Linked DNA regions of Arabidopsis thaliana. The protein of the gene in region 3 interacts with the protein of the main gene of each other region in a pairwise test. Each region holds a gene or a part of one and is shown on either strand. Other genes may lie near its edges. The genes, in order: AT1G54770, AT5G09450, AT4G23770 and AT1G54120.

Evidence for each region.
Region 1: the proteins of AT4G23770 (region 3) and AT1G54770 interact in a two-hybrid assay, tested with the Arabidopsis thaliana proteins (one large-scale study listed by BioGRID).
Region 2: the proteins of AT4G23770 (region 3) and AT5G09450 interact in a two-hybrid assay, tested with the Arabidopsis thaliana proteins (one large-scale study listed by BioGRID).
Region 4: the proteins of AT4G23770 (region 3) and AT1G54120 interact in a two-hybrid assay, tested with the Arabidopsis thaliana proteins (one large-scale study listed by BioGRID).

The regions. Positions count from the first base shown.
Region 1 is NC_003070.9:20,430,999-20,439,482, reverse strand, and holds AT1G54770 (Fcf2 pre-rRNA processing protein), read right to left. Parts: upstream 4,934-8,484; 5' UTR 4,681-4,933; coding exon 4,469-4,680; intron 4,389-4,468; coding exon 4,328-4,388; intron 4,251-4,327; coding exon 4,173-4,250; intron 4,087-4,172; coding exon 3,974-4,086; intron 3,774-3,973; coding exon 3,668-3,773; 3' UTR 3,322-3,667; intron 3,192-3,321; 3' UTR 3,030-3,191; downstream 1-3,029. Other genes in the region: AT1G54775 (Plant thionin family protein), read left to right, coding at 1,469-1,699; AT1G54773 (uncharacterized protein), read right to left, coding at 2,700-2,731, 2,824-2,860; AGL85 (AGAMOUS-like 85), read right to left, coding at 5,086-5,571; AT1G54740 (FANTASTIC four-like protein (DUF3049)), read right to left, coding at 7,745-8,484.
Region 2 is NC_003076.8:2,938,464-2,946,814, forward strand, and holds AT5G09450 (Tetratricopeptide repeat (TPR)-like superfamily protein), read left to right. Parts: upstream 1-3,334; 5' UTR 3,335-3,400; coding exon 3,401-3,435; intron 3,436-3,524; coding exon 3,525-3,813; intron 3,814-3,955; coding exon 3,956-4,861; 3' UTR 4,862-5,205; downstream 5,206-8,351. Other genes in the region: EXL4 (EXORDIUM like 4), read left to right, coding at 1-770; AT5G09445 (uncharacterized protein), read left to right, coding at 2,491-2,730; AT5G09460 (transcription factor bHLH143), read right to left, coding at 5,974-6,954.
Region 3 is NC_003075.7:12,380,607-12,388,369, forward strand, and holds AT4G23770 (uncharacterized protein), read right to left. Parts: upstream 3,891-7,763; 5' UTR 3,445-3,890; coding exon 3,120-3,444; intron 3,000-3,119; coding exon 2,908-2,999; 3' UTR 2,558-2,907; downstream 1-2,557. Other genes in the region: AT4G23760 (Cox19-like CHCH family protein), read left to right, coding at 1,239-1,511, 2,167-2,244; AT4G23780 (uncharacterized protein), read right to left, coding at 5,597-5,700, 5,779-6,193; TBL24 (TRICHOME BIREFRINGENCE-LIKE 24), read left to right, coding at 7,264-7,480.
Region 4 is NC_003070.9:20,203,446-20,210,535, reverse strand, and holds AT1G54120 (uncharacterized protein), read right to left. Parts: upstream 3,607-7,090; 5' UTR 3,459-3,606; coding exon 3,084-3,458; 3' UTR 2,981-3,083; downstream 1-2,980. Other genes in the region: CCX4 (cation calcium exchanger 4), read right to left, coding at 6,484-7,090.

The DNA.
Region 1 (8,484 bases), on a different chromosome or scaffold from region 3:
CATTTTCTTGTGTTTTGTTTTGGATCGTGAAAGGAAGTGAAGGATTGGTGGAAATGTAAGATTTTCTGGATAATGTTTTAATTCCAGGGCCAAGGCTAAGGCCAACCACATTTTTGTGCAAAAGATTTTAATTATGCTGCGACGTGGCGTTTTATTGTTGACAATGCATCTCTATAGTCTATAACTACATTAACTATTACTCCCTATTTTCAAAAACAAAAGAATAAAAATATATGTAATTTAAAAATTTGCCAAATTTTTAAAACTTAAGATGTTAAACTTAATTTTGTTAATATTTTTAAAAATAGAAATACAAAAGTTCTTAATCCTATCGAAAAAAGAAATATATATATTAAGTAAGAAAAAAAATTGTTTTTATGTTCGACTTTTGTTATTGCTATTTTAAACTGTTAAACTAATTTTATTAAACTTTGTTTTTGTTAAATATTCAAAAATAAATAAAATTTACTTCTTATATAAAAAATGCTAATATATTAAACTATTAACCTCATTCTATTAATTTTGTTGTTGTTAATATATTCAAAAAAAAAAATTAAAAATGTTTATAGTATAGGAAAAATATACAAAATTTGTTAGTGTTATTACATAAACTCTTAACATTCTCACTAGAGCGTGACATGTGGTATAATATTAAACTAATTTTGTTTTTCTTGTTGTTGTTAACCCATGAATCCATCAAATTTAAATAGATCAAATCAACATGTAAATTCAATTTGGTTTGTAAGTTAAATGATTACATATCTCTACCCATCAATACAAAAAAAAGGTTCTAGTTTATAATCTTTTTTAGGGGATAATTTCTGAAATAAGATTTTTAAAAATGTGACAATATTATTGATAATGCTTTAGAATTAATACCACAAAAAAATTGTAAGAAAAAAAACTGAATAGAAACTTTTGAAGTTACTCAAATTTAATCTATTATGGGTACCATCTATTGTCTTAATTAGTTGAGTGTTAGATAAATTATTTAGCTAAATTAATTAGGTCAACCTATGAATCCAATAAATTTAAATAGATCAAATCAACCTGTAAATTCATTTTGGTTTATAAGTTAATGCTAAATATCTCGACCCATCAATACGATTTTTTTTTTATATAATCATGTTTTAGGGGATAGTTTTTGAATTAAGATTATAAAATATTTGACTTATTATTGACAATGGTGAAAATTTGGCAATTTTTTTGGTAAATGACGATTTAACATTGCAAGATTGTTTGGACAGCTAATAACATAAACAAAAAAAAAACTAACTTTTTAATTAATAAGAAACGGATATACTTCCAAAATCAATAATTTTAAGTGGATAAAAATACTTTTGCTATATAAAGTACAAAACTACAAAAAGCCAACTCAACACTAATTATCTTGTTAATTTTTTTTTGCTATATAACCTAAACAATATTTTTATTACCTCAAACATTCACAAACTCATATTTTCAAATAATGGCAACTGAAACAATGAAAAAGATATATAGTGTTTTGATGATTGTAGTTTTATTAACGATGATAGTTTCAACATACGCGAGTACGATAGAAGTATGTGTTAAACATTGTGTCCCAAATCAGTGCATGAAAGATTCTAAAACGGCAACTCTTCCTTTTTGTGAGAATTGCTTGCAAAAATCTCTGCAACCAAAACAAATTTGCTCAAGTGAAATTTTACACGCCTCCTGATAACCGCTTTTATGATGGATTTTTTGGGTTTCTATGTAATAAATATTGAAACTTTTAAAAATCTATAAATAATTTATGTGTGTGGTTTCTTATCTTTAAATTAATTAATCTATCATGTTACAAAAAAAAAATTAATATATCATGTATGTATACTAATTTATTTTGTGTTAGATTCTATCTTAGAAACAAAATTCGATTACATGGGTTTGAATTGCGGCCATCAGATTTTATGGTGATGATCACTTCACGATTTATTTACTAAAAATTGGCATATGTGTGAAATAAACATTAGCTATACTACATGTCTATAAACTATACTATTTTCTCAAAACAGAATTGATGTTTAAACTTCTAAATTGCTAATTAAATATTTTTTAATTTTTTTTTTGCATAATTACATTTTAAATATACACTCAATGAAACGTGTTATCACATTTTTACTTATATATGCATTTATATTTGTCCAAAAAATAATAATTACAAAATGAATTTAATATATTTACAATATAAAAGTTATCTTCATTATCTAGTAAAACAATATTGAGAACATTGATACAAAACCATCCAACAATAGAAAAAACCTAACACGAGCTTGCTTGTTTACGACTATCAACTCTGTAGAGAGCCACTTTTTTTTTTTTTTGTAAATGTTAAAGAGAGAGCCACTTTTTCCCCTGCAATCCATAAACCAAATCAATCAAGCTTTACTTCAGGTTTTAGATTTCAAAACCAAAAGAAGAAATTTATGTTGTATAGAGACCAAATGAGCTTCATTAGGTAGAAACTAAGAAAACAAACGATTTACAAGAACAAGGTGTAGATTGGTGTAGATTGCAGTCACAAATGAATTGTTGTTTCAGATATCGGCTCGAATTAGAATCGTGGGATTCAAGTTGGGCTTACGTTGCATTGCAAGCCCATTTCATTGGCCATGGCCTTCAGAGAGGATGGTCTCAGTTTTGAACTCTCTCTCGAGAGAGACATAAGAAATAAATCCGAATCAATCAAGAAAACGGGGACTCGGTTTAGACACTGCCAAAGAATGTGACCAAATCACTTGAGAAAATGCTACAAAGTCTACTAAAGAAGACTTCTCTAACAGAACAGAAAACAAGATTACTTACAGCAGATGTAGAAGAACGTTAGAGGAGTCGGTCTCATCGTGTCTTCTCAAACTAGCGTCTCTCTCTTTCTCAAACTGCCTGTAATCAGCACTCTCCAAGAAACTGACTTTGTCGAGATACTTAGTAAGAAATTAGATTCTAACAACACCGAGCCAATACACAGATTCAAAAAAAAAAAAAAAGCAAGCTTAAACAGTTCAACTTGACATAGATTTAAATCCTACACACACAATTCATCTTCTTAATTCCAAAGAGCTGATATAATATCATAGAACAACGCCGAGCGAAAACAAAAATTCAAACAACTGACCTCAATCTTTCCCCTGCTCGAAGCAGCTGCAGCAATACTCTTAGCCTCCTCATTACAACTATGATTCAAAAGAAGAAAGTCACATAATTTAGATCTTGCTGAATACCAAAGTTTTGCTGTGCTGACATAAATATGTGTGGCATGGTCAGTGCCAGATGACTCAAACAGGGAGGTACTATGAGTGCTACCTGAAAGTATAAAACTCGATGCTCTCGTGGTTGGACCCTGCAATTCTGCAAAAGGTGTAAACTAGGACTCAATTTCAGTCTTGCTGAAACAAGTTTCCCACCTAGTAGCTCTAGACAAGGTTTGGTTTTGGATATACATAACATAAGCACCATAAACAACAAGAGTTATTACAGTTATCAAAGGTGTAACCAATAACACAAAATCCTTTAAACAAAGGCCATAAACAACAAGAGTCATTACAACCTATATCACCGCAAGAAAGTGTATCCAATACTATGACCATATTCTATTAAAAATAGAAAAAATGTGTCCCAAAACTATGATCATACTCTTAACAAAAATAATTCAGTTCCTTCTTGGCTTTGTGTTCTTAGACTGGTTTCCCTTTTTATTCCATTTCTTATTCGTAACAGCTCTACTCTTCTCCTCAATCTCCCTAACTTTACGCTTCCTGTAAAACCATAATCAACACAAAAACATTCACTTAACAAAGATTGCACATGTGCTATATGAATACAAATTCTCAAAAATACAAATTCTTGATAGAATAGATAAACCACACACTTATTTTACTTACATCTATCAATAATACTTACAGAATTTAAGCATTTCCTATACATTGTTTCTTAATAGACAATGGTAGTAACTAACCTGTAGAGAGCAGTTTTAGGATCTGAAACCAACTCATCAGCAAGAGTTGCTTTTCTATTCTTCTTTGTCAATCTCCCATAAAACTCTTCAGCTGGTTCAATTACTGTACCAATCTGTTTTTTTTTTTACAACAAAAGTTTGTGTTAAGACAGAAACCGAAAGAGACGGTTATTCTCTTTGATCTAGTTCTGAAACTTGCCTGGAAATATTTTTCAGCTAGTTTAGACCGTGACACAGATTTCTTGTAGTGTAGAGCAGGATCCATTACAGTTCTCAACTACAATAAAGATACAATTAGAATAATGTAAGGACTATGGAACCTAAAACAACAACAAAAGCAAAAGAATCTATTACCTTAAGCAACTGAAGATCTCTTTTCAACTCAGGAGTCATTGTTGGAGCAGGCATATCAAACCTATCCACAGTTTGAAGAAATACAATTTAATCACAAGCCGGATCAAACTAATCCGAGTAGAGGAGATAAAGAAGAGTTACCAGTTAGAACCAGTAGTGTCTTTGAGTTGTTTTCTAATCATCTTGTTAATCTTCCTTGGATCATTAGGTGGAAGACAAAGACCATCAACAAGCTCTGACTTAGAACTCTCAGCTGTTTTGCTTCTGGTTGAACCAGTTTTCAAGTCTAAGGATAAGCCTGGAAGCTTTGGTTCCCATTTAAGACCGATCAGTGGTTGTTTAGTCTCTGCCATTATTGTAAATTGCCTTTGTTCTCTGTGACCCGGAAACAAAAACACTGAAACTTGTCGAGAACTCGAAGAATCAGCTTGTCGAGAACTCTTCCTAAGCTGTAGAAAGTGAAGAGTAGTAGAATTTTAGTGTTAGAGATCAATGGAGATCGACGGAGATGAAGATTGGAGATATTAGGGTTAGAGATTGAGTAGATGATAGATCACGAATTGGGCCTAATGGCTGTAATGGGCTTCTTTTATGTATAAAATATTTCAGTTTCATTAATCCATTGCTGGATGTTGTAGAAAACAATAACAATTCATAATGTATAAAAAAGAAAAGACAAAAAAAAAAACATAATTCTTAAGACTCAAAAATACTTAATTAGTAATGATCTACTAATTAAAATCTTAATCATTAATGGATCATTTGTTATTATTCTCAGCATCTCCTCTTTGGATCCTTGCAGCAGCTTCATTACACAGTTTCTCATAGAGCCCTTCACACTTTTCCATTATCTTCTTCGCCTCTTCGTGATCTTCCACCTCCTTTGGATCCACTTTCCACCACGCATCCTCATCTACGGGCATTGTCTCCGCTAATGCAGCTGCCTTCTTTACTTTGGCTTCTTCCGTCTTTGCCTCCTCCACCATTCTATTGTATACTTTGCAAAGCTCTTGAATCTTCGCTTGTTGGTGAGCATTCATGACCGATCGTTGCAACGATGATGAGGCCTCACGATTGAGAAATCGCTCTGCCACGGCTTGAAAAGACGGACTGCCGAATGTGTATGGTTTTCCTGAGCAAGAGTATCCGAGAAACGCAACTTCAGCACCACAGAGAATGGAAAGCTCATTGCTTATTGTAGATTCCATTTCGACGCTTAGATAATGTGACCAATCTGTCTTCATCTTTTTCAATTTTTTTGATGTTAATCATTTGCTTTCCTTTGGTTTTCTTGGGATTCATTTTGGAAGAAAACAAAAATATGAATTGACTATAAAGAAAGGAGAAATTTAGATTAAGTATGTGTTTCTCTTTTTTTTTTTTTTTTTGTGGGTGCAAGATTGGGTTTATATAGATGGAAAAATGGTAGTAATTTAAATTGCATAAAAATTAGTCAATCTGTAGATCAATGTTTGGAAGTTTGGTAATCTTTGTTGTTCGCATAGTTAAAGGTTATAAGGATTTTTGATGTAAGGAATTTGACTGTATGATTTTTAAATTAATTGGTAAAGACTGTGATTGTATGAACTACAATTTTAAATAACTACCAAATATGTGGGAGAATAGATTTTAATACAAAAGGAAAAAGTCAATTGAAAGTATTTTTTAAGAAATAATATACGACTATATGTTTTCGGAGTTTATATATATGGGAAGAAAAAAAAATATTATAAGTTGTTATTTAATTATTTCTAAAATTATGTTTACGTGATTTTTTAAGAAAATGAAAGCAAAGAGTTTTCGAAATTTATATATATATATATATATATATGGGATAGAAGAAAAAAAAAGAAATTGGTAGGGGACGGGGAGATAATGCCTCCCCAAATTTATTCATAGCAACATACAAAAACTTAACAAGCAACAACATGCCATCGAATTGCCAAACAACGGGCATCATCCGACAAAAGAGAACATCTTGGAATAGTATCTAAAAAGTGAAAAACTAAATTTAAAGAAAAAGCATGGTTAGCTAATTCATCCGCAAAACGATTATCCTCCCGGTAAATATGTGAAATTTTGATATTCTAATCCTTTGATATAAAGCCATGTCACAAGCGTAACAGGAAAGACAGCGGATAAGTTTCACTAACCCTTATCTTCAGAAAACCAACCACTACTTCCAAATCCATTTTAAGTTCTAACCGAGAAACTCGTTTTCTACATGCGATGTATAGGCCGTAATAAACTCCCCATAAGGAGGTGACTTCCTTTTATTAGGCTTAACATTTCCGTTATCAAAACGTTTCATGCAATCTCCTATACTTGAAGCTTTCCTAGGGAATCAACACGGCTCCTACTCTAATTTTTAACTCAGTTTTCTTATTGCATTTCAATGTTTTGCGGACCACAAACTTTTTCCCTAGCTTTTGTTTTCTTCTCCAAAATTCAATGTCTCGTATCTCAACCCGTCGAAACTTTTCTTCAGTTCACAAGAACTTTTAAATATGCATTGTATCTTGGGGTTATATGTGGCGTAAAGGCCTGTGACCTGTCGATTGTGGAGGGAAATGGAGTCTATAAATGCAACCTGCAATCTTAGAATTTTGACAACATTAATGTTCCAATTTTCAACAGACAGCTATATATGGACGAATGACCAACAATTGGACCGATCAGACAGACTCGTTTGCGTTACATTGCCTTCTATCTTTTCACCTATGTTTTCCTTATTTCTTAATTACGAGGGTCGAAAAGATTTTAACTAACACCAAACTAAGTTCGATTCTAAAACATTAAATGATGAAACATTGAATTATAACATATGAATTGTGGCCTATTCCACTAAGTATCATTGCTGAACTAGTAAAACTCTTAGCCGAAGCTTAAAAATCGTCAGTTCGATATTTTTGGAACGAAACTAATATTACATGTTGTCGTTTCGTGTCTGAGAGGATTACGAGTTTTACTCTAAAATCTTGTATTAAAAAAAAAAAATTGTGGCCTATTCCGGATTCATCATAATTATTTTTAAAACTGGAACATCTAAACTCTAAACTTTTGAAGAGATTATCTGTCGATTTTATTTTGATCAAATTACATAAATAAAAAACGGTGTAATCAAAATTGGAATAATACTTTGTTAAAAAGGCATAATAATATGAAAATTGAAAGTTGTAATAAGATGTTTCAATTATGGAAGTCATATACATAAGCATCTTAAACGAACAATAATATTACACTCACACGCTATCATATTGTTGACACTACTTATAACAACACCCAACCTTTGACTTTTCGAATATTTTATAAAAATACAACGGAACTTCCAGAGAAAATATAGCTGTACTCTTTTTTAGTTGATATATTTTTTGTTTCAAGCCGCCACGTAAAAAAAAAAAACATTGATTAATAACCTCACCTGGTCCTCACGTACGTCCGGGTCCATAAATTCATGTTATTGTTACTATTATGATGATGGTATGGATGAATATGATGACGATGACGATGATGATAATGATGATGATTGTTCTCATCATGGTTCCTACTTGCCACGATCTTAAAACCACTGTTGTACATCCATTCTCTCGTGTCATGGTCATCATGGAAATGTGCAACATCATTATTACTATTCACCGAAACATCATGACTACTTTTACATCTCCAACTTCTTGCACCACTATCATCACTGATTATAGATAAATCCATTCCTTGATTACATGCACCATCATTGTCGTCTTCATTAATCTCTCTACCACATTCCAGATCAGATCTACTAATCTCCCCTCCCTCTTTCTCATTACCTAGACCCTTAGGTTCCTCTTCTAAGGCCACAATTTCTTGAGGACCAGAATAAGCTCTAATGGGATTCTCGACACCATCGACAAAATGTAATCTCAACCGTCCATCTACTCTAGAAACGTGGAAAATCTCTGGTCGATCGACCATAACTTGCGTAAGTTCCAATCTACCGTCTTTTCTCACCGGACGGAGATAAAAATATCGCTGTCCACGGCTGTTTAATGACGAGAGAGGCGGAGGAAACTGTTTTTTCTGCGCTTGCACCACCACATTCTCCTTCGTCTTCCTCCTCTTTGCTTCAACCCTTTCGGTCTCCACCTCCGCATGACAAGTCATCTTGTTCTCCACCTCGTTAT
Region 2 (8,351 bases), on a different chromosome or scaffold from region 3:
CCGCGTTGAAGCCTCCGGTTCGAACCTTGAACGGAAACATTACTCTTAATCTCATTTGGTACGGAAAATTCACCCCAATCCAACGGTCCATAATCGTCGATTTCATCCGCTCTATCAGTTCTGTCACCGCCGCCAAAGGTCCATCCGTCGCGTCGTGGTGGAAGACGACGGAGAAGTACAAAACCGGCGTTTCAACTCTTGTTGTCGGTAAACAGCTCCTCCTTGAGAATTACCCTCTCGGAAAATCCCTAAAGAGCCCTTACCTTCGTGCTCTGTCAAGCAAACTTAACGCTGGTGGTGCTCGGTCAATAACCGTCGTCTTAACGGCGAAAGACGTCACCGTTGAGGGACTCTGTATGAACCGATGCGGGACTCACGGGTCAAAGTCAAGTTCCGTTAACAGTGGAGCTTACGTGTGGGTCGGAAACTCTGAAACGCAGTGTCCTGGTTACTGCGCGTGGCCGTTTCATCAGCCTATCTACGGACCTCAGTCTCCGCCGTTAGTCGCACCTAACGGCGACGTCGGAGTTGACGGAATGATTATAAACATCGCGACTCTTCTTGTTAACACCGTAACGAATCCGTCTCCAGAAGCTGTCTCGGCTTGTACCGGGATATTCGGTTCGGGTGCTTACCCGGGTTACGCGGGTCGGGTTCTCGTAGACAAGACGAGTGGAGCGAGTTACAACGCTTTGGGTCTCGCCGGTAGAAAATATCTATTGCCGGCGTTGTGGGATCCTCAGACTTCGACGTGTAAAACTATGGTTTGAATTTTAGATGGTCTGTGAACGAGACACGTGGCTAGAATTGATGGTGATTAAAAGCTTGTTGTAGTCAAAGAAAGTTTGTAGATATCTATCGCGTCTGGTTCGGAGTTTGGGGAAAGGGATGTGTTTGTTTTGTTATTTTGTTATGCCCTGTGTAAATTCGATCTTTGGAAATATGTGAAAGATAGATTCATATATCTATTTTAATAATAACGATTTGTAGTTTCCACCTATAATCTTATAACGTTAGTATATACTGTATATAGTATGATTAGTATCAAGACCTTGTTTTAACTTTTAACCAGAGGAATCAAACTTTATAGATAAACGAAAAATGGATTAAGATATTAATTATGTTGTGTTGATACCAATGATACGGTAAAAAGAACAAACAAAAAGAGAGAATGAATAATCTAAAGGAAGGTGGAGAATAAAGGCGATGTTGGGACTTGGGGGATAAGAGAAAAGAGAACATATAGAATCACTTTTTCACTTTTAATAAAAGCTATAGCTTATAGGTTTTGGCGTATTGCTTACTAAACAATAGTATAGTATTTATTGTGGGACTGGAAAAAATGATTTTATTTTTATCATCCAGTTTTTCCTACCAATCTCACCTTTTTAGTAACTTGAATTGAATTGTCCCATAAATTCTTAAATATGAGCAGTGGGTTGGTTGGTGTTGAGTGCTTCGAGCAGGCCTGTCGAATCAATGGACTCTACTGACGATAGTGAAAGCAGTAAGCTTTCAATGAAGTCGCTCCAATAACAACTTGTTAAAGGTTTTATTGGAGGTTACACAATTTACACCTACAATTATTTTTATTCGTTCAATAAGAGCCACATTCTTTAAGAGTTGGTAACACTGAACCCCATAAAAATCATCTTGGACTCCAATTTTCACATCCAAACATTTCCTAATCAAGTCATATATCCAATGTTTTATGTCAAATCTATTTCACTCCCCCTTCACTTCAAAACATCTTCCAATTCTTGTCCTCACATCAGATCCCTGAACTCAAATGATAAAGAGTGTTTTTTTTTTTCCTTTTTCCCCTAATATCTTTTACTTTTCAATGCTAGACACTAGCCCTGGGACTAAAATCCGCTAACCGCGAATATCCGGATCCGGATCCGTGATCCGCTCCGAAAAATCGGATATCCGGACTAAACGGATCTGAATACGGATAACAAATTTATGGATCAGACGGACCCGGATCCGGAGCCGGATAACAAAAAAAATTACATCCGGATATCCGGATCCGTCAAAATATCTACATATTACTAGTCCTGAGACTAAAATCCGCTAGTAATATGATATTACACCAATTAAGCTTATACATTGATATCATGGGCTTAATACATACTGATATTATTAATCTTATAGCCCATATAAGCCCAATACGACAAAGTGACATAATTTGAGTTTGTTTGTGATTTGGTGGGACACGTCATTAGGGTTTCACAACTTGTCTTCTCTCTGCCGCCGTTCTTCCATCACCATCTCTTTCACCGTCTCCAAACCATCTCCTTCACCGTCTCTATCTCATCTCCATTGCCATGAATCCATGAACGAGATCTTCTCCTCAGTCGTTAGCCCCGCAAGAACTTCTCGTCAATGGTCACCACTTACCTCCGACTCGAGATCGTGCGCTCGTCGCTTAATTGGGAACTGAATCAATGTCGTTAAAGGTGAAGAATAGAAGAAAGCCATGGCTTGGAAATGGTGGTTTGTAGATTGCGAAAGCTTATGACAAACATTGGTGGATTCGATCTGGGTTGTAAAAGAGAATCGGATTTGATCCCCATAGAAAAAAAACGGATCCGACGATTTTTTTTGCGGATACCCGGATTCCGAATATCCGTAGCAAACGGATGCGGAGCCGAATATTATATCTACGGATCCGGCGGTTACGGACCGGATCCGGATACTCCAAAAAAACCCGGATATCCGGATCCGTAACAGGCCTACTAGACACTATACTTTATTTTTTTTATCAAATATGAAATGTTTACTTTTGAATATACTATGCAAATTGCAAATCTAACTCTAGGCAAGTCTTTAATTCTCTATGTGAAGACACCAAAACGCTTGGTTTCAAGTTCCAACTGATAACTAGTAACTAGTAAGTAACCAAAAATATAACATTTGAATCTAAAGAGTTTAAAGGCCTCATTAGAGTCCTGAAAATTTATAACAGAAAAAGTATCAGCCGCATGATAGTTGATAGCAACTTCTCCATATAATCGTGTTTGTAACAAATAACGAAATCGAGAGACTGGATAGAAATAAACTAGATTGAGAGTTTACAAAAAAGAAAGCAAACGACACCAAATCTATAAAATAATAAGAATCAAGAGTTAGCCTTCAACTCCGTAAGCCCATTCAAGGCCTCACAATAACCAACCCAAACATTCCACGCCTTATACCAATCCCCAAATACTTAATGCCTTCAACTTCGAATTGCCACATCGTTGGTGGTTGTTTATCTTGGAGCTAATGGGCTGATTTTCATGGGCCCATTAGATATTTTTGCTATTTTTTCGACACAAAATTGTTGAAACTCGAGTTTCTCGAAGTAAGTGATCGGTTTTTAGATCTTTTTGGTCTCTTCAGTCGGAACTGAAAATTCATGGCGACTCGCTCGCTCTTCCATAGTCTTAGATGGTGAGTCTCCCTCCACCTCTCTATGTCTCCTACTGATTTCGTATTTGTTTCCTGAGATAATTGATTCACACTGCTTCTTATGAATTTAGTCGATTGACGAATAATGGTGTTCTCGGAAGCAATTTCATTCGAAACGCCGAATCGTCACGATTCTCCAAGTCGTACAATGCTGACGCAGCAATCGGAAACTCCCTTGTCGAGGAATCGGAGGAGAAAGACGATCTGAAGAGCAGGATTTTCAGATTGAGACTTCCGAAACGTAGCGCGACTACTGTTCTCGAGAAATGGATTGGAGAAGGGAATCAAATGACTATCAATGAACTCCGAGAGATCTCCAAAGAGCTTAGGAGAACTCGCCGTTACAAGCACGCTCTTGAGGTACTAACATCGATCATTTCCTTTTTCATTGGTTTTTCTTCGTAGCTCCTAGTTTCTAGATTGATTGCACAATTTATGATTTGTTATGTGTTGCTGCACAAAACTGCATTCTTCTGGGAGCTAATTCAAGTATTATTAACAGGTTACAGAGTGGATGGTACAGCATGAAGAATCAAAGATCTCAGATGCTGATTACGCCTCACGCATAGATCTGATTTCAAAAGTTTTCGGGATCGATGCAGCTGAACGCTACTTTGAAGGTCTGGATATAGATTCAAAGACAGCTGAAACCTATACTTCTCTCCTTCATGCTTATGCTGCCTCCAAACAAACCGAACGAGCCGAGGCCTTGTTCAAGAGAATCATTGAGAGTGATAGTCTCACTTTTGGTGCCATCACATACAACGAGATGATGACTTTATACATGTCAGTTGGGCAAGTTGAGAAAGTACCTGAGGTTATTGAAGTGTTAAAGCAGAAAAAGGTTTCTCCGGATATTTTTACTTATAATTTGTGGCTAAGTTCATGTGCTGCAACCTTTAATATAGATGAGCTTAGAAAGATTCTTGAAGAGATGAGGCATGATGCTAGTTCCAATGAGGGTTGGGTTCGGTATATCGATCTTACTAGCATCTACATAAACAGTAGTAGAGTAACTAATGCAGAGTCTACTTTGCCTGTCGAAGCTGAGAAATCTATTTCGCAAAGAGAATGGATCACATATGACTTCCTTATGATTCTGCACACTGGTCTAGGGAACAAGGTTATGATAGATCAGATTTGGAAGTCTTTGAGAAACACCAACCAGATATTGAGTAGTAGAAGCTACATTTGTGTTCTTTCATCTTATCTAATGCTTGGTCATTTGAGAGAAGCCGAGGAGATTATCCATCAGTGGAAAGAGTCTAAAACGACAGAGTTTGATGCTTCTGCTTGCTTGAGGATCTTGAATGCTTTTCGAGATGTTGGTTTAGAGGGAATAGCCAGCGGCTTTCACTTGATCTTGGTGCATAACAAATGCAGCTTGGAGAATGAAGGATCATCTTAAGATGGAGAAATAAGTTGGTGAAAATTTTATGCTCTTAGCAAGAAGAATCAGATCAAGCTCATTAATCATGGTGGATGAATAAAATAGAGGTTTCTTCTCTTCACTGTGATTCTTAAATATCTTTTTGTTCTTTACGTGGGAGGTCATGAGACACATAGATTTCCTCACCAGAAGATTTTGCTGCATAGTCGGAAGATGTGTTTCCTTAGGCAAGGTCCATAACATTTCATATGTAACGTCAAATTTCAAAAAGTCCAAATTTTACAACAAAAAATAGATTGTGGAGGTTTTTCTTGTATGGTTGTTGTTTAATAATAAGTCTACAAAATTTGTTTTTGGTATAGAAAAAATGATAGTTTGAAAGGTTAGAGCAAAATCCTAGCATGTAAGAAGCCAAAGAAGGTTCCATTATTAACACTCGAGTTTATTACATGAACATGATACACAAACATGTTTAGACCCATGAGAGAAACAACAGAAGCAAATAACATTACAATAGTACAAAACTACAAGGCCTTTGAAGAGCTTAAGAGCCAGAGAGATTAGAAAAAACAAAAAAGATGACAAGTTATGGGATTGATAGCAACAGAAGAGTAATAATGAGACAAGAGAGAGTGGGGACATAGATTTTCACCTAATGAAAGTGGGAAGATTTCAATTTCCACAAGTCACAACCACTCCAAAAATTTCAATATTTGCCTTTTTGATTTTTCTTCATCCACACCCACCACCACCAGACCTTCACAGAGATATTATTATTACTCACGAGTAAAGATAATTATTAACGATCAATGAGCACCAAGACTTTGCTTTTTTCCCTTCTTTCACTTTTCTTCCACTCCAAGCACAGAAGAAAGTGACTTTTTTTTGGTTCTTTTTTGAGAGAGCATGCCAAATCCAAAAGTAAACCACTATTGATCCAGCTAGATGAACAGTGGATACGGTCCCACTAGGGTCACCAGGCGTGTTCTAATTGTTTCAAACCCACGTTAATGAATTTGAGAGAATCTTCTTCATCAGTCCTTTACCTCATTGATTATCTTTTGTCCCATGTCTTCTCTTTAACCAACCAAACATGCCTTATCAATAGGACAAAAGGGGTTGTAGGTTTTTCACCAATGGTTATTCAAACCCTTTGATGAGTTTAAGCTTTGCTTCAGCAACTTGAGGTAATCAATGGCTTCGTCTAGTAGTAAAAGAGCTTCTTTTCCCTTTGCCCCTGGAACTACACTCTCCAGGATTCTCAGAGCGGTGTGAATCTTGTCTTTTCTTGACTGCTCGTCGCTCAAACCAGAACCCGTTTCTTGTTTGCTTGAAATGTTTGATTCAGGAAGGTTTTCATCTGATAAGCCTTTGACTTTAGTGGTGCCCACAAGGGATGGTGATGAGTCTCTGTACGAATGGTCCAGTAGTTTCTGTCTTTTAAGAAGTGGACCATCAACAGTGCTTTCAGTTTCATCCAGCTCTTCTGTTGTTATGTTGCACGCTTGTTGTTCAACTGTGAATGGAGAGTGACCAGTGCTCATTACTTCATCATCACTTTCCCAATCATCATTATCGTCATCATCAGAATACAGTAACGCGTTGATTTCCTCAGTGTCTTCGTGCATTTCCGAGTCTTCTTCGCCATTTTCATGATCTTCATGTTGCAATATCTTTTCTTGAATGGCATGATCTTTACTAAACCCTTTCTCTGGGTGTAGGGCACCGAGAATGTTCCCTCGCTCTGCATCCATAGAAGAAGGAAACCGCAGAGGAAATCCACATTGTAACAAACGAGTCTGCTCTCCCGACTGATCGAATACTATAAATCTTTTCCGAGAAGACTTGAGTGCCCCCTCTGGAGCAGCACCGTTGCTAGATCGCCCATTCAAACATGAAACTTGTTTTCCACAAGACTGCTGATCATATCTAGACAATAAGGCTTGGAACGGTGGCTGCAAATAGCGAAACTGATGCTCAGCTGCATAAACTTTACCGAGTTCCGGAAAAGGAATTCCAGGACGGAAATACTCAGTCGCCTTGTCCTGGACACAAGCTTGAGGATTTAAGCCTAATGGCAACCATTTCTGCTGTTTGGTATCAAGAGGCATGCTCTTGCAGTTTAAGCCAAGGGAACTTTACAGGAATACAATACTGCACGAAAAAGGAAAGGGACTAATCATTGGACATGGCTATGAATGAGACAACTACTAGTAGCCCAACTCAAGAAAGCAATAATCCATAAAGAGTCAAAGATTCAGTTAGCATACCGATTGTGGAAGCTGTTGCTCAAATGTGTGGAACGCAACACTTGTTGATTCTTTCTTGAAACAATCGTATAAGAAAGTAGAGACAAAAAGAAAAAAGGTGCCAGCTCCAAAAATACAAACACAAGCTCACAAACCAACTACGTCACTGGTTTGAGTATATGTCTAAAGTATTCAGCCTGCAAGTGGAACAGAGACAAAAGTGTTAGATAAGAAACACAGGACTATGAGATGAAATGTGACAAAAAAAAGAGTATAATATCATTTTTGCTGCAACAAACCTGACAATTATCCATCGGTTGGAAGCAAGCAATAACTCTCACTACAATTGTTGGTCTGCTAGAGTCTCCGTTGTTCTCGTACTTGAATGTTCGAAATCTTGTTTGACCAGCTGATTGACTTACCATAATAATAACTTTTCCAAACTCTCGAATGTAAAACTAGTGTTTCTCCACAGAACAGAGTAAGTCACCAAAAGACAGATGACTTGAAGAAGAAAAAGAGAAGCTTTAAGGGTTTAGATGATCCTATACTGGTCACAGTGGAAAACGTAGAAACGTTGGGATCCCATTATTAAAGAGTTTAGAAAAGGCTGAGGATTTAGAAGAAGATTGAAGATGGGGTTTTTCAAGGCAGAGAAAAAGTTTACAGAATAACTCGGCAATACAGATTCAAGCTCACAACTTTACGGTACACATCAACAGACCTTGTGAACCAACTCATGCTGTTTTTCTCATTCACTGCTTTGTTGTGATCCAGAGAAAGAGAGAAGAATTCTGTTACAAAACAGAGAATCATCTCATCAAATTCCAGTAATAACAAACCAAAGAAACCAAACATTCACAACAATTGAAAGGATAGAGAAACCATAAACAGCAGAAGAAGATAAGTACATGTTCTGCAGCATTGAACAAGTATAATTTATTTTAGCAAAATCAAGAACTAAAAGCTTGGATTTTGCAAGCCAAGCTACGAAAATAGAAGAATTTATCCGTTTTGGTAACGATTTAAACACATTTGCATCAAATTCGCTGATAATTCAACTTTTTCGAGGAATAAAAAAACAGAGAGAGCACAGCGACAAACAATGGTTAAGTGAATCCAAGAAGCGTACATGGAGGAAAACAGAGGAAGATCTATGCGTGGAGATCCAGAGAGAGTGGAGAGGTTTATGAGACGAATTCACGAAAGCTTGAACGGATAAGAAACGAGAAAGCGGAATATTATTTCGAAAATATATT
Region 3 (7,763 bases):
GTTGGGCCATTGGATAAGCTTTTGTGGAATGGTGGAAATGAAACCAAGTGTTTCTTAGATCTTAAGAGTTATTGCCAAAAACCAATTTGTGAACCGGATCAAACCAGGATTCTGTTATATGTACCGGTCGGTCAACGACTGTCTTGGCCAAAACCCAAAAGGACATGGTTTCAAACTTTCAACGGATGTTTGACTTCTTACTGGTAAATCCTTTCCGTATGCATTATGCCTTATTCCGTATTTATTCCGTATTTTAGTTTGGTCTATCATCAGCCATTATATGTCTTTCACGTCCTGATGACATATTGATCTTGACTGAGATTTAGCAGAGATGTACATACGATAGTTTTGAAATGTTTTAAGAATGAATTCTGCATTAATTTTTCGTTAAGATACAAAGTTTTACACAATACATTATCTAAACCCATGATTCAATATAGAATTAGTTTTACTCAACCGACATTCTAATATAATCAAAAATTTGATGTGTGGTCGGATAGTGTACATATTTACATGGTCAAGATAAGCATACAAACCGTACAAATTAGAGGCATTAACATATATAGAGAATGTGGATAGTAAAAATACATGTGGAATAGAAAGTGAGTGAGACAGTGTCTCATGAAAAGTGGCAGAGACACATTAATAAATACATTAAAAGAAGGACCAACAAAGAAATTAAATGATGTCTAATTCATCTTCATATTTCACGTACCATTTCTCGTGCCATTCCCATGCACTTAACATGTTTGCTCTGCTTCTCCCTTTCAATTTTACTGAACTAACCTTCCAACTACCTTTTCGGTTATCTTCTCCATAATGTAACAATCTAATTTGAGTGTGAATATTGTACCATATAGGTGTTATAACGTTACTAGTTTTGTGACGATGGTCACGGCTTTAATAACATCATAAATATCCCCGAGATTTTGTGTGTGTTCCTCTATAAGAATTGGTGATCATGTAGCGAGTACTAATCAGCTTTTGATCAAAGTTAATGTTGTTAATATGTGATGGTTTGTGTAATCAACGTTTCAATATTATGTACAATTATTTAAATTATTGTGTTTCTTCTATACTACATCGTCATTCATTAATTTTTTTGACGATCTATCATCTACCAACCATCCACGACTATAATTGTATGTATATCAAATATTGTTCTGATAGTCAAAACATTATGGGCTAATTAAGAAGTTTGAACAAGAGTTAAAGAAAGCTTAAAAGGGCTTTGATGAATGAACTCAGATGGGCTTTATGGCCCATTAAAGATTTTGTTCTTTTTTGAGTCGTCGCCCCCGAGATCGTGGGTGATCCGTCTCACTGGAAACATCTTTGTCTCTCTGAGAAACCCCTCTTTAGGGTTTATACCTTCAATGGAGAAACAGAGTACTCAACCAATTTGCGGCCAAGAGGCTCTCCAACTTCTCAATTGCGTCGCGGAGTCTCCTTTCGATCAAGAGAAATGCGTCCGATTTTTGCAATCTCTCAGAGAATGCGTTCTATCAAAGGTTGGTTTTTTATCGCTCTAATTACTGATCTACGAGCTCGTGATTCATTTTTTTTTTATAAGTCAGTTGAATTTTTAGGACAAGGTATCTAAATTTTAAAATTCTATCATCGATCGATCAAGATATATCGAATCGTTATTGTCACTTATGCTTTATGACAATTTTGGAGCTGCTCTTGGTCTCTCATAGAAAACTTTTGAGAAATTATCACATTTTTTTCTACTACTGAGTAATGAATATGTAAATGCCAAGTTATTGGTGGAGCATTTGGAGCTTTACTTGATACATCTGTGTTAATAACTCTGTGGTTACACTTAACAGTTTCTGAGTGATTGTCATAGACACTAGGTTACTCTAAGCTAATACCCTTACTCTCGAGAAAAGTAGAAACAATGCAATGATGATTCTTGAGAAACTACAGATTTTCTTGTGGAAGCCATTAGAGAATGAGAAAGCTCACTATTAGTCTCTTTTTATAGGTAGCAATCAAAGTAGGAACTGGTTTTGTTCCCATTCTTGGTCTTGATCTTGATGGGTTATAACTTTTATGCGTAACATGGATCCTTACAGAATCACGTTTAAGTGCAAACTAGTGAAATCTCTCTATTTCTCATTGAAGTTTTTGGCTTTTTGTTTTGAACAATGAATGTTACAGAAAGTAAAGAAGTTCTCGATACCGAGTCAAGATCACGACTCTGAGGGAGCAGCTTCAGCTACAAAGAGACCTTCATAACGTTCTTTGTTCCGATTTTCTTTTATCGTTTGAGTTGTAATCATGTAATTGATTTTAATGTCATGCCTTGGATTCATAAGCTGGGTCATGCCTTGTTTCCCCTTTGTTGTCTTGTATGTTGAATATTGCAAACTCTAAAGAGCATATTTATAAGAAGAAATAAAAGTTTCTACATTTGACTTTCCCTCTTATTTTGGCTAATCTCTCATCCTCGATCGCTAACTTATTCAAATCATCTGTTGCAAACTACTTCTTTACTACCGTGTTGTCGATTTCATTCGTACAGATTATCTTTTTCGTTGATCAGATTCTCTTATTGCTCATCATCTTCAGATATTCATTAAAGAACACAGAACATGTTCAATCACTAAACTAATTCTTTTTCAACGGTTTATGGAACAATGTGAGAGTAGATTTAAGATGGAATCTGCTTCTCTTACTACCTTATTATGTGATACTAAATCCACTTAACATACTAACTTTCATATCTTAATCTCCTTACTCCAATAGCAAGAACAATGCAGCGGATATTCATAGTCATATACACCTACTAGAAATAAAAGCAACAAGAACTACTAACTTAAAAAGATTTGAAATTTCCCATTATCACCACTTCTGACTCTGTGCTTCTTCTCCATCTCCTAAATTGATTTCAGATCTTGATCAAAGAATGAAGTGGTCATGATCTGATGAGTTAATGAGTCTTCCTTTTCTTTGTCTTCGGTTTCCATCATCGTCCTCACTAGTCGACATATCTGCATAGAGATTTAGTCAGAGAACATGGTTTGATAGAGTAAGTGGACACACCACATATCAAAAACACTAAAATATCCCTCTTTGATAACTATTCTTCACATTAGGTCTATTTGCACTACCTGAATCCACACCGGTTTGAACATCAACAGACATTATGTATTCGATACTCCTTTCGACAGTCTTTAGCTTCTTCTCCATTTCACCAAACTTGTTCTCCCACTTTTCAATCACTTCCTTCTTCTCCAATGCTTCTTTTTGCTTAGTCACCAGATCTTCAACAGTGAATCCATGAGTTTTCTCTAGCAACTCGAGCGTTTTAATTAGGCTCTCATGCTCTATCACCAGACTCTCATACTTGTCTTTCAAAATCATGTGTTCAGCAAATGAAACATTTTCACACGATTTGTTGTACTTGTTCACCAATTGGTCCAAACGACTAGACATTGTTGTCTTTAATCAATTCAAGATTAACCTGATTAACAAAAAAAATTGGAAATGTGTCCTTAAAAAGAGAAACTTTAAAATCTACAAAACCCTAAAACTCAGATCTTTATTGAGCAACCAAAAACAAAACTAAAATGTTAGAGACAGTCCACAAGATTCGGTCTTTCTCAAACGGATTCACACCATTTTTGTCCTAAACCCAAACCGGAACCAAAAGAAACAGAGAAAAAAAGGATTTATTTTTCCTGAGAAAATCTTACTCGGAAAAGAAAAAAGTCGATCTTTTTCTCAGTTACAAAGAAAGGAGCTCGGGTCGATGATAGAGACTACGCGACAAAGATGGAATCGTATCAATGGAACCCTAGAAAACAGAGAGCGGGAAAAGGCGAGACGAGTGTTTAGTAACGAAGAAGATGATACTTTATTTCATTTTCCTTGTTCAAAAATAATATTTAAGTTTTAATCTCCACCACTCATTTAGCCAAGTGGCCCAAGCCCATCTTCACCAGTTGATACACTCTTCTTGTCTCCTTCAACTTTACTTTAGTGATTGGTTTTAGTGATTAACCATATTCCAGATTTTATATGCAGAGACTTAGGGTCCGAATGGTAACCGCTGTTTTTGTTGTGCGGGGAAAGCGTTATTACACTGCGGTACGGTTCAACTGCGGTACGTGCGGAAGAAATATATTTGCAGAATTAGTGCGGTTTGTACAAAATAAACGGTACAAAATAATGTTTGATTGGTGAAAAAAACTACTTGCAGTGCGGATTATAAATTATATATATATATATTAATTAATTATTTTTTTGTGTTAATAAATAAACAATAACAAATATTTATAAACTACTAACACAAAAATTGATCAAAATATAAATTTAATTTTATAACAAACATATCGTTACATGTGTTGACTAATTTCATCATAAAAATATTTAAAAAATATTATTTATTAATTTGATTTTCCCATAACATATTTGTAATATTGTCTCTTATTTGCGTCATATGTTTTTTATTTGTTATCTCTGTTACTTCTATGTCATCTAAATCATGATCAAAATCTCTATTATTTTTATTTGTCTCTGTTATTACATTTGCAAAATCTGCATCTGAAAAGTTTGAAATTATGTAATCTCATTATAGCCATTACCACTTTTTTTTTAATACGAACATTATATTTTGAAAAATCAGAAAGAATCCTCCATTTTTTTTTCCAAACTCCAAAAGTTCTCTATATAATAGAACCTAAAGAAAAGTATGATGATGTCGAAAAAAGAGAGAGAAAAAAAAAGACAGGTTATAATAAAGCGAAAGAAAAGTTTAGATATGTTTATTTGGGTAAAAAATTATATATATAATTATAAAAATGCTTCTAATAATTAAAAAATACAATAAAACATATGTGTAAAATTTACTGCGGAATTGGTTGGACCGCATGATTATGGAAGTTTGTTGTTTTCAAAAGCGGTCTGTAAGTTTTTAGCTTATTTTGAAAAACGCGAATAGTGTTTTGATAGAAAAGTAAAAAACGTGTATATGTAATAATTAATGGTGATTGGTAACAATAGTGCGGTTTTTCGAATTAGGTGTTGAAATCCGCAATTTTTGTGTCGCCAATCACAACCTTATATACAATACCTTTGCTTGAAGACCTTTCCGTTTGAAGAATGCTTTGAGGGCAATACTGGAGTTAATCCCTCTCTTGTTGAAGCACTCTATGATTGCAGAAGTAGAGTGCACTTGGATCAAAAAAGGTACAAAGTCAAAAAACATCATTTTGAGGCCAAAAAAAAATGAGGACCTTGTACTTCCCTGTCCTAAGCTATAATCATCTCTATCTTCCAAGAGGAATAAACTTATCATCAGATTCAATGAATATCATAAACTAGCTAGTTATTTCAATTTTTGTTTAGTTGTTACTATATAGAACAATCTGAAAGTAGATTAATGATGCAAGCTGCTTCTCTTACAACTTTGTGTTGGGCTAAATCACTTATTACACAGTTACACTACAAACTTTCATATCTTATCAACCCTCCTAGTCCATCAGAGAGACTCATAGTCATCTACTTCTACTAACTTCCAAAGATTTTGAAACTTCCAGTTTCACCACCACATCTGACATTGTGCTTCTCCATCTCCACATCTTGATCACAATATGAAGGAGTACTCTAAATTCTTATGTGATGAGTTACAGTTTCCTACATTGCTTTCACTTTGGGTTCTTTCATCGTCGTCACTAATCTCTATCACATCTGCAAATAGAAACATGTTTAGTTTATGTAATGCTAACACATTTAGTTAGACACATATCAAAAAACACTTAAAATTACCCTCTTGTGATTCAAACTTGTTCACATTACGTTTGTCTGCAACTCTTGCACCACTTGGTCCTGAACTCATACCATTCATCACAGTTTCTTCACAAGACTTTAAGTATTCAAGATCCTTATCAAGCATCTCTTGCATCTTCTTCCTTTCACCAATCTCCTTGTCAAACTTTTCAATCTCTTCTTTCCCAACCAATGCTTCTCGCTGCTTCTTCTTCACTAAATCCTCTAATGTGATTTCGTGCTTCTCTATAAGCTCGAGTGTTTTGATTAGGGTTTCATGTTCTTTCACCAGATTCTCGTGCTCTGTCACCAAACTCTCATATTTCTCTTTCCAAATCTCGTGTTGAGCTAGTGGAACATTATCGGAAAATTTGTTATTGCTGTTCTTCTCCGATTGGTTCCCAAGACTAGACATTGGTGTTCAAGTTCAAGCTTAAGCCTGTAAATAACACAAAATACACAAAACCACAAAGATTTTCTGAGAAATCACTCGCAAATTAGAAACTTTCACACAGTCTCACTCTACAAAAACCCTAAACCCCAAATCTCCACTGAGCTACCAAAACTAAAATGTTCGCAAAAAATCGAAAGATTCAGACTTTCTCAAAAGTATTCCTATCAGTTTCTCCCAAATGCAAACTGAAAACTAAAGAAACAGAGAAAAGGAGTTTTCCCGAGAAAATCTTACTCGGAAAGTAAAATTGCTGATCTTTTCTCGATCACAGAGAAATAAGCTCGGTTAGATGAGAGAAATTGTGCAGAAAAGGTCGAATCGTAACAATGGAACACAGATTAATGAGCCCTAGAAAACAGAGAGCGGGAAAAGACGAAAGCAGAGAGTGGAAACGTTAACGAAGAAGATGGATAGTTAACTAAATTAATTATCATTATTCAAAAATTAATATTTATTTTAGTCCCAAATCATTAGCCCAGCGGCCCAAGCCCATTATCAATCAAACACCAAGTATTGCTGTCTGAACTCTTTTTTTGCCTTTCCTTGTTTTCTACTCTTTCCATGTTAATTAATTACACTTCTGGTCTCCTAATTAGGTGATCCTTCATATCAATGGATTTGAATGTATTTATATGAGATGATATTGATCATAAATGTCTGAAAATGTGCTTCAAGTTTTGGAAAAAGATGTATAACAATATCGTTAAAAAATTTACAAATCTGAGTATTTTAGTGTAATTAAACTAACTAACTAAGGAAATCCTTTTATAAAATAGTGTTTGAAGGAATTGAAACAAACATTATATCACCAGTCTGGTTAATTGTGTGATATAAACAGATTAATAGATTAATACGTCTCTATTCATTATTTTACTGTATGGTTCTTTTTTAGAAATGGTCGAATGATTTAGTAACATATAATAAAGAAAAGTCCCCAGAGCTTTGGTCGGTCGAATAAACATAACACACAAATACCAAAAAGGCAAAAACAACTCACTGAACTGTTTGCATATCTTCATCTTCTTCTTGAGATGAAGTTGAAGTTGTCATCAATCTCCATGAATCATAAGAATGTGCTTCTCATCAAGCTCATCTCCGCTATTCTGATATCTTTTTTCGCGTTCCGTCTCTTCATTCTCCACTCCAGCGAGTTTTCTCCAATCTTTGCGTCGGTCACCGGAAAATTCGAAGCTCGGTTTCTGCCGCCGGAGATTATCGTACCGGAAAATGAAGATCTGATTCCTCAAGGTAAGATCAGTTATTTAGAAAGCAAAAGTATTTGACTTCTATGTGTATTGTCCACTGTGTTTGACTGTTTGTGACTAAACCTTGTTTTGTGAGCACAATTATGATTTATGAGATCTAAGGGTTTTGGATCTACAAGATTTAAAGCTCTGTTTACGTTTTTTTTTAGATTGTGGTTTAGAGAATAGAAAAAAGGAAATGACAATTCATGGATCTTGCTCTTCTAATTTAAAGTTATTCTTGTGGTGACTTGTATCATTTGATAAGTGATGCTAATTAGCTGCAA
Region 4 (7,090 bases), on a different chromosome or scaffold from region 3:
AATGTATTTACGGAAAAATCAGCAAATGGTCGGAAGTGGGATCCACTGCATGATTCTAATGTTTTTTGTCTGGTTGGGATTTTTTTTGATTCAATGAATCTATTTGCGGATGAGGAATCCCTTCTTTTTTTTTTCTCCTCTCGTTTAAGAAAAAAAAATGTACAATATACTCCAAACCCTTACGTCCGTTGATCAATTGTGTAACAGTCATAGAGAAGGAGAAAATCAGAAATTTAACAAAGAATGTGAAAAAATTGGAATATGTCGAATGGTTTTTTCACTTTAATGTTCTCAATAATTTTGTTAGTTAACAAAATTATTAAATTTTGATGGTATTGCTTAAGGACAATACAGACATTTCAGCCTAAGTTATAGTAATTGCCAACTTTTATTTCTTTACGAATTCTTACATTTCCGATAAGGACACCGACGAACTCTCAAAGAAGAACCATCACTGCCAAAGAAAAACAGTTGCCACGTGGCCTAAGGGGACGGAGCTTAACAAGACACGTGTCTTAATTGGTGGCCAAGTTTTACATTTGTGTGCCAGGTCAGCACCTACGCTCAAGGCTCTCAGCCTCCGTGACTTGTGGGAATCGTTTACCCTATAAAATCGACGGTCCTGTTTGAGTCTTGCGATTCGATCATACCCGTCAAACTAATCACGACAATATACTGTTCTTACTTCTAAACGATCTTAAGTCAATAATATCAACACCTGTTTTTGTAATTGACTTTCGATAGAATGCAACAAAAGTTTGGTAAATAATACATCAATTTAATAACTTTTCTAACAATTTTCATGTCCAAATCAATTCAAATGAGACCTAAATTGTTGGTCGGAAACTGAAAAAGTCATGTATACATGAGTTTCTGAATATAAACGTTCAATATCGTGGAAATTAATTGAATCCAAAACAAAATTTAGAAATGGTTACGTTAGAAGCAAAAGTGTCAAGAGGCAACGTGCAAACTTTAGTCACCACGTGGAACTTCTTCTTTTCCACGCAACCACGTAATAACTAACGTACCATTCGTCACAACGTGTTTATTTTCGGTTTAGTCTGTAACGGGAACAATGTCAAACCGTAGTTTTTATTGGTCTGGCTTGATTTATTGTTGTTTCTGTGGACCGGTCGTGATCCTATGGGCTTTTCTCTCACCCAAAAATAAACGCAAAACGAGCAAGCTTTTAGGCCCATTTTTACTGCATTGGGCTATTAGTTATTGATCTGGCTTGAATGTAGTGTTGTTTTCGTAGGTTATGAACTTATGATGTATGATTTGATCCATCTACTAATAGAGGCTTGATATCTATCATATTTTACAAGTCGTGATATCAATAGCATATTTTACTGCGAGGATTGTTATGTGTCACTAAAGACAACACTAGGCTCGTGGGTTGGACCTTGTGGGGAAAACCAAATGGATCGAACCGAGAAGTAATAACCAAAATTTAGATAGGTATGCTCTCGGACATGATGAGAACAAGAACCACTAAATCTTTGAAGTATGACTGCAATGTAAAACATAAAACATTTCAGTGCCAAATCTACTATTTTAACTCGAATTCATGGTAGGTTCTTGATGTCGTTCCCAATTGGAATATATTGTTATATCCGACCGTACAATTTTATGCTATAGAGGAAGTATATAATATTTCATGGATTTCTAGCAGATGTTTACATAATGACTTTTTAAATTGTAACTGTGATAATAACTTAATACTATATGGTTATACAATAATTCAAATGTGTGGAAAACTGAGAATAATTCAAGTTGGTACTAGTAATATACAAGCATTGAGATTCTCGAATCTAAAGCAATCGTCGAAAGTCCAGATAAGTGTTAAAATATTCGAATTTTATGGGGAAACGACGAGTTTGTCATGTAAGAACACGGTACATGTATCAATATGAGATCTGAATATCAAATGATAATTTATTTAATAATTCATCGTCTGATGATTGCATTTCTAGCAACTAATGCCACCTTAACTCAATCACTTACAATACAAGATTCTAGTTCATCTCATTCCATGATCAATCACGTTACCAAGCCCAGACAATACATTCATTCAAATGTTTGTAATTTGATACTGTAAAAGAGGACAACGTCGTGTAAAAAAAAAAATTCATTTCTTTACTTATATGTTCTCTTATCTTTATCAAACTAGTATTTTATATACAGTTATCAACGGCCTTGAATGTTTTGTAGATTTTTTAAGAGTTTTTGGTTTTTGTTTTTCAAAAACTTATTTTCATACCAATCAAGATTTTAAAATTTTGGTTTCCCTACAATTTAAAAAAATAATTTTGTTGGAGTTTTTCATTCATGATTTTAGTTTTTTAGTTTTCCTAAAATTTAAGAAATCTAGTTTTTACTCAATCAACATTATTTTTCTCAAAAACCAAAAACCAATTTTTGGGGTTTTTGAAACAAAACTATAATATCAAAAAACTAAAACTAAAATCTAAAATCTATAAACTAAAATCTAAATCCAAAAACTGAATTGAAAATCAGCATCCGTTCAGGACCATAGTTTAATTATGAATCTCTCACTATTGGTGTTAACTTGTTCGTTTGATGACTGATGTGCATGTATGATATATAATATTTATCATTTATTGTAGAGAATAAAATTTGTCTTGTTGGTTACAATAACGAAATTTAGTTAATCTTCATCCCTCAAAAGTAAAAGAAAAAGAAAACTTTATAAACTTATAACAAAGTAAAGCAATTTTATTTCACCAGAGTGAGTCGTAAATAATTTGTAATTAATAGATGGAGAATGATTATTTGAATTGCAGATTTTCTACCATAATATTAGAACTATTTTTTTTGCTTACATGTCATTTACAGTTTATGAAATATTATTTTGTTAATATGTATAAATTTAACAAATCGTATTTAATAAACTATATAACCATATACTGATAACAGTTTCATTTTCCAGGGATGATTCTTTTTTTTTTTTTTTGACACAACCAGGGATGATTCTAAAATTTAACAAATTACAATAAAATAGTTATATAAGATACAACAGGAAAAATAATACAAAGTTACAAAGAATATAATTTTGGCTATACAAGAAAATACCGTGCTCGGTCATGGACTGAAAAAGAAGAGAAAGAGAGACCTAAACCGGGAACCGCAAACGCAGCCGCTTCAACCGCCATTCGCTGCTGAATCGCTTCAAGCTCAGCTCCTGCGTCTACGAACTCTTTAACCAAATTACGATAAAACACTTTTATCTTCTTCACAACTCTCACGTAGTGTAGCTTCAACCATCTCAGCTTCATCCTCCTTACCATCTTCTTTAACGAGAATCCGCCACGTGACACCGCACTGTTCTTCCCACCAAGACGTACCACCTGCGACTTACGGCGACGGATATGAATCTTTCGACGGCTCCTAGACCACCGGAACACGGGGATTGCGGCGATGCGTTGATCCATTTGGATAGTAATTTTTTGACAAGAAAAAAGAGAGAGAAAGAGAAAGAGAGTTTGTTATGTTTTAGAGAGGCCACATTGAGAAACTAATATATACAGACACACATACACGTATATAAAATTGTGTATATACATTTTAGTTTGGGGTCAGTGACCTTTCATGTGACATGTGACATCTTTCGTAAGATAGTATTATATGCAAAAAAAAAAATTTGTTTTTTTTTTATTTATAATTTAGTGTCCTGACCACACAGTGATCTGACTATCCACTGGGCCGAAGCCCGCGACCAGGGATTTTTGAGCCTCTACTTAAGGGTCCCCTGGAACTGGTGGTCTGAGGCGCCAAAGCAAATCCGCATGTTAATTCCCTGGTGGTCAGGAATCGAACCCGGGTGGCGGGCGCCTCAGTCGAGGTTCCTTTACCACCAGACCACGATGCCTGGGTTTTTTTTCTTTTTAGTATATGCAATTTTGATTTAAGGGATATGGCCTATATGTCACGACATTTTTGTCATAAAACTATACTGGACCACATATCAATCTCATATATGTATATGTGTTCTTTCGGATTCTATATTAAATTTACTCTTTGTGGATTCTATAACAAATACAAAATTTGTTAAATTATACTTTGAAAAGAACAAAAAAGATAGGGAGAAATTGAGAGGTATATCAATTTGATTAGAAATGGGCAGCACATTTATGTTTTGTTTTGTTTCCAATAATATTGCAAAAGAAAGACGATTTAGTTTAGAGGTCTCATGCAGAGAGCATGAACTTGTTTTCATGTCTTCCCTTTTTGAATCATAAAACAATTTCTGTAATTTTTAAACACTTAATAACATACACATGTCTTCTTATTTTTGTATATGCTTTACTACAATTCTTTGATGATAAGAAATTTCAATGATTGACTGAAGATAGGTCGCTGAGCTTGTCTTCAACTTAATGTTTATTAATTCGATATATATTATATTGTGGTCCACATAACTTGAGTACAATATAATATAACGGATACGTTTTCTATAGGGTAATATATCATTATCAATTGCATATAAAACTATAGTGTGTGTTTAATTCGACTCATTTTTTAAAAAAAATATGCTAAATATAAATTTTAAAATAGTTAGAAAGTTATTTTTTAACTAATGTGTGGTTAAAGAAAAAAAGTTCGAATCTACATATACATTTTTGCAGCCACTTTGTGAAATAAATCCTCAAGTTGGGACTTATTTACAGTGGCTGTCACTGACATTTAATAAATGTTTTTGATAATTAAAAAGTAAATATTTGAATTAAATGTTTGCATTTAACTACCTTCCCAAAATCTCTCTGCATTAACTATACGATTAGTTACTAAAATAAAACTTCCAAAATATTTAATATCATTTAAATACTACAAAATTATCATTTTTGATATTGCTTTTTTTTATGACTATAACAATTCGATTATAAGCAGCAAACCGTAGAGATATTTGATAGCAATTAATTACTACAAAATTACAAATTATTTAGACAATGGTTTATAAACATATCATAAATAAGATCAACATTAATAAAATAAATAGGTTTTTTTACGGGACGGGTTTGGCAGGACGTTAGTTAATAACAATTGTAAACTATAAAATGAAAATTTTTTATTGATAGATACAATTTGTAAACTTTTATATATACTAACTTTAAGAAAATAAATTGTCCCCGCGGTATACCGCGGGTTTAAATCTAGTACGACATTAAATCGAAAGATCAACAATAGCAATCCCGCTATATGTAGTTTTAAATTCGGTATTCTAAACATTGATTTTGTAAATATCAAAATAATATTACATATACTGAACTCTATGTTTTGTTTCTATAAACAAACAATTCTCTATTATTTCAGAAACCATAAGATTATGTTTTAACATTTTCTCACAAAAAGGAAAAAAATGCTTTGGTTTATCGATCATAAATTAATGTTTTTAGATCTGGTGATATATTTCACATATAATCTAATTGTTATGAATATTAAAGTTAAACTGGCCAGTAAAAACAACAAAATGGCATATATATAAACCCAAAAGTAATTAAACACAACCCATATGAGTGTCAGAGTTGTCTTTTTGCGAGAACAGAGCAATAAGATATAACATGTTCTTAGATGTCTTGTCCCGAGTTGAGCATATTCAAACACTATTATATAGTACCTATATAATGTTACGAGATTGTGATACACTATATGGTATCAATTCAAAATTCATAAATATTATATAGTACTTATAATAAGAGGGTGGTCAAGTGACATAAGGTATGACACAATACATTTACTTCATGCGCAAGAGAGAAATATATAAATGTGTATATGTAGTAGATAAGTCTCTACGACATGCCTAACCTTACGCCTTGGTCTCCACGACGGCACATACTTACATTGCTCTTTGGACCCATTTTGTTCTCTATTCACTTTAATGCGAGAGAATCATTTGGTACATGATAACTTATGCTATATACTGTTTATAATATAATTTGGAAACCATTCACCAAGAAAATGATTTATTTGCCTTCTTGTCCTTTCTTTTTTCTTTTTTCTTGTCGTTAACTTCTTGTTATTCTCTCTTGTCGATTAGTTAAATCTAATTATTAGCTAAGCAATAGTAATCGGTATAAACTATTTTAATAACAACGTATGTTTCTTTGTTACGTAACATGAAAATTGAAAATCAGATAAACAATTAATTTTTCCGATACGAATATCGCACTACCACGTGACGACGATGTACAACTACAAGTGGAAGCTAACGAAACAAGTGGGGCAACACTATTGAGTTAAGCCGTGGCCCATTTATACTAAGGCCCATTAGTCCCCATTTTCGAATACATAATCCATTTGTCCCAATCTACGATCGAGATCTACCACAACTATCTAGATCCAATGGCTCAGATTCATTCAGTTACATCAGCATAATAATACAAACAACATTTACTTCAGAACCAGTGGGCTATATCTCTAACAACATGATGTATACAATAAGCTGGCAACAATGGCGTTTCAAGAAGCCCAAGGTATGAATCCCATGGCGGAGCTAAGCCTGAAAGTGACGAATATCAGATACAGTGTAATAAGACCAATGCCCATCACTTTGTTCGGTCGCATTTCGTTGCGTGGGAGCATCACAAGAGACCAAATCAATCCGAATATTAGAAACCCTAGAGTGTAGAACAAGCTATTGTCCTCCGGGATCATGTAAGTCTCTGGACTTTTCGACCAAGCACCAAGAAACATCGACATACCTAACCCAACAAGCGTGTTAAACATTGGACCTGCGTAGCAACCAGACAACGCGATTTGTACCCCATCTCCACCGTTCATTGACAATGCGATGTTTGACACTAAGTCACCCATTGAGTTTCCCCAAGCAAGTACGGTTAGACCGAGTATTGACGGGTTGATTCCATAGATTCCACCAAATGTAACCAAAAGTGCAACAAGTTCGTTTGCAATCATGTAGAACCATACGATGCTCATGATGAATCCACCAAGTACCCAAGGGATTAAATATATTTGAGGTGGACGGTCGGGCTCTGTGTTTTTGAACGCGAGATATCCAAGAGTAGATCCAATCGCAATTCCGATAAAATAGGCTACAATGCGAGCT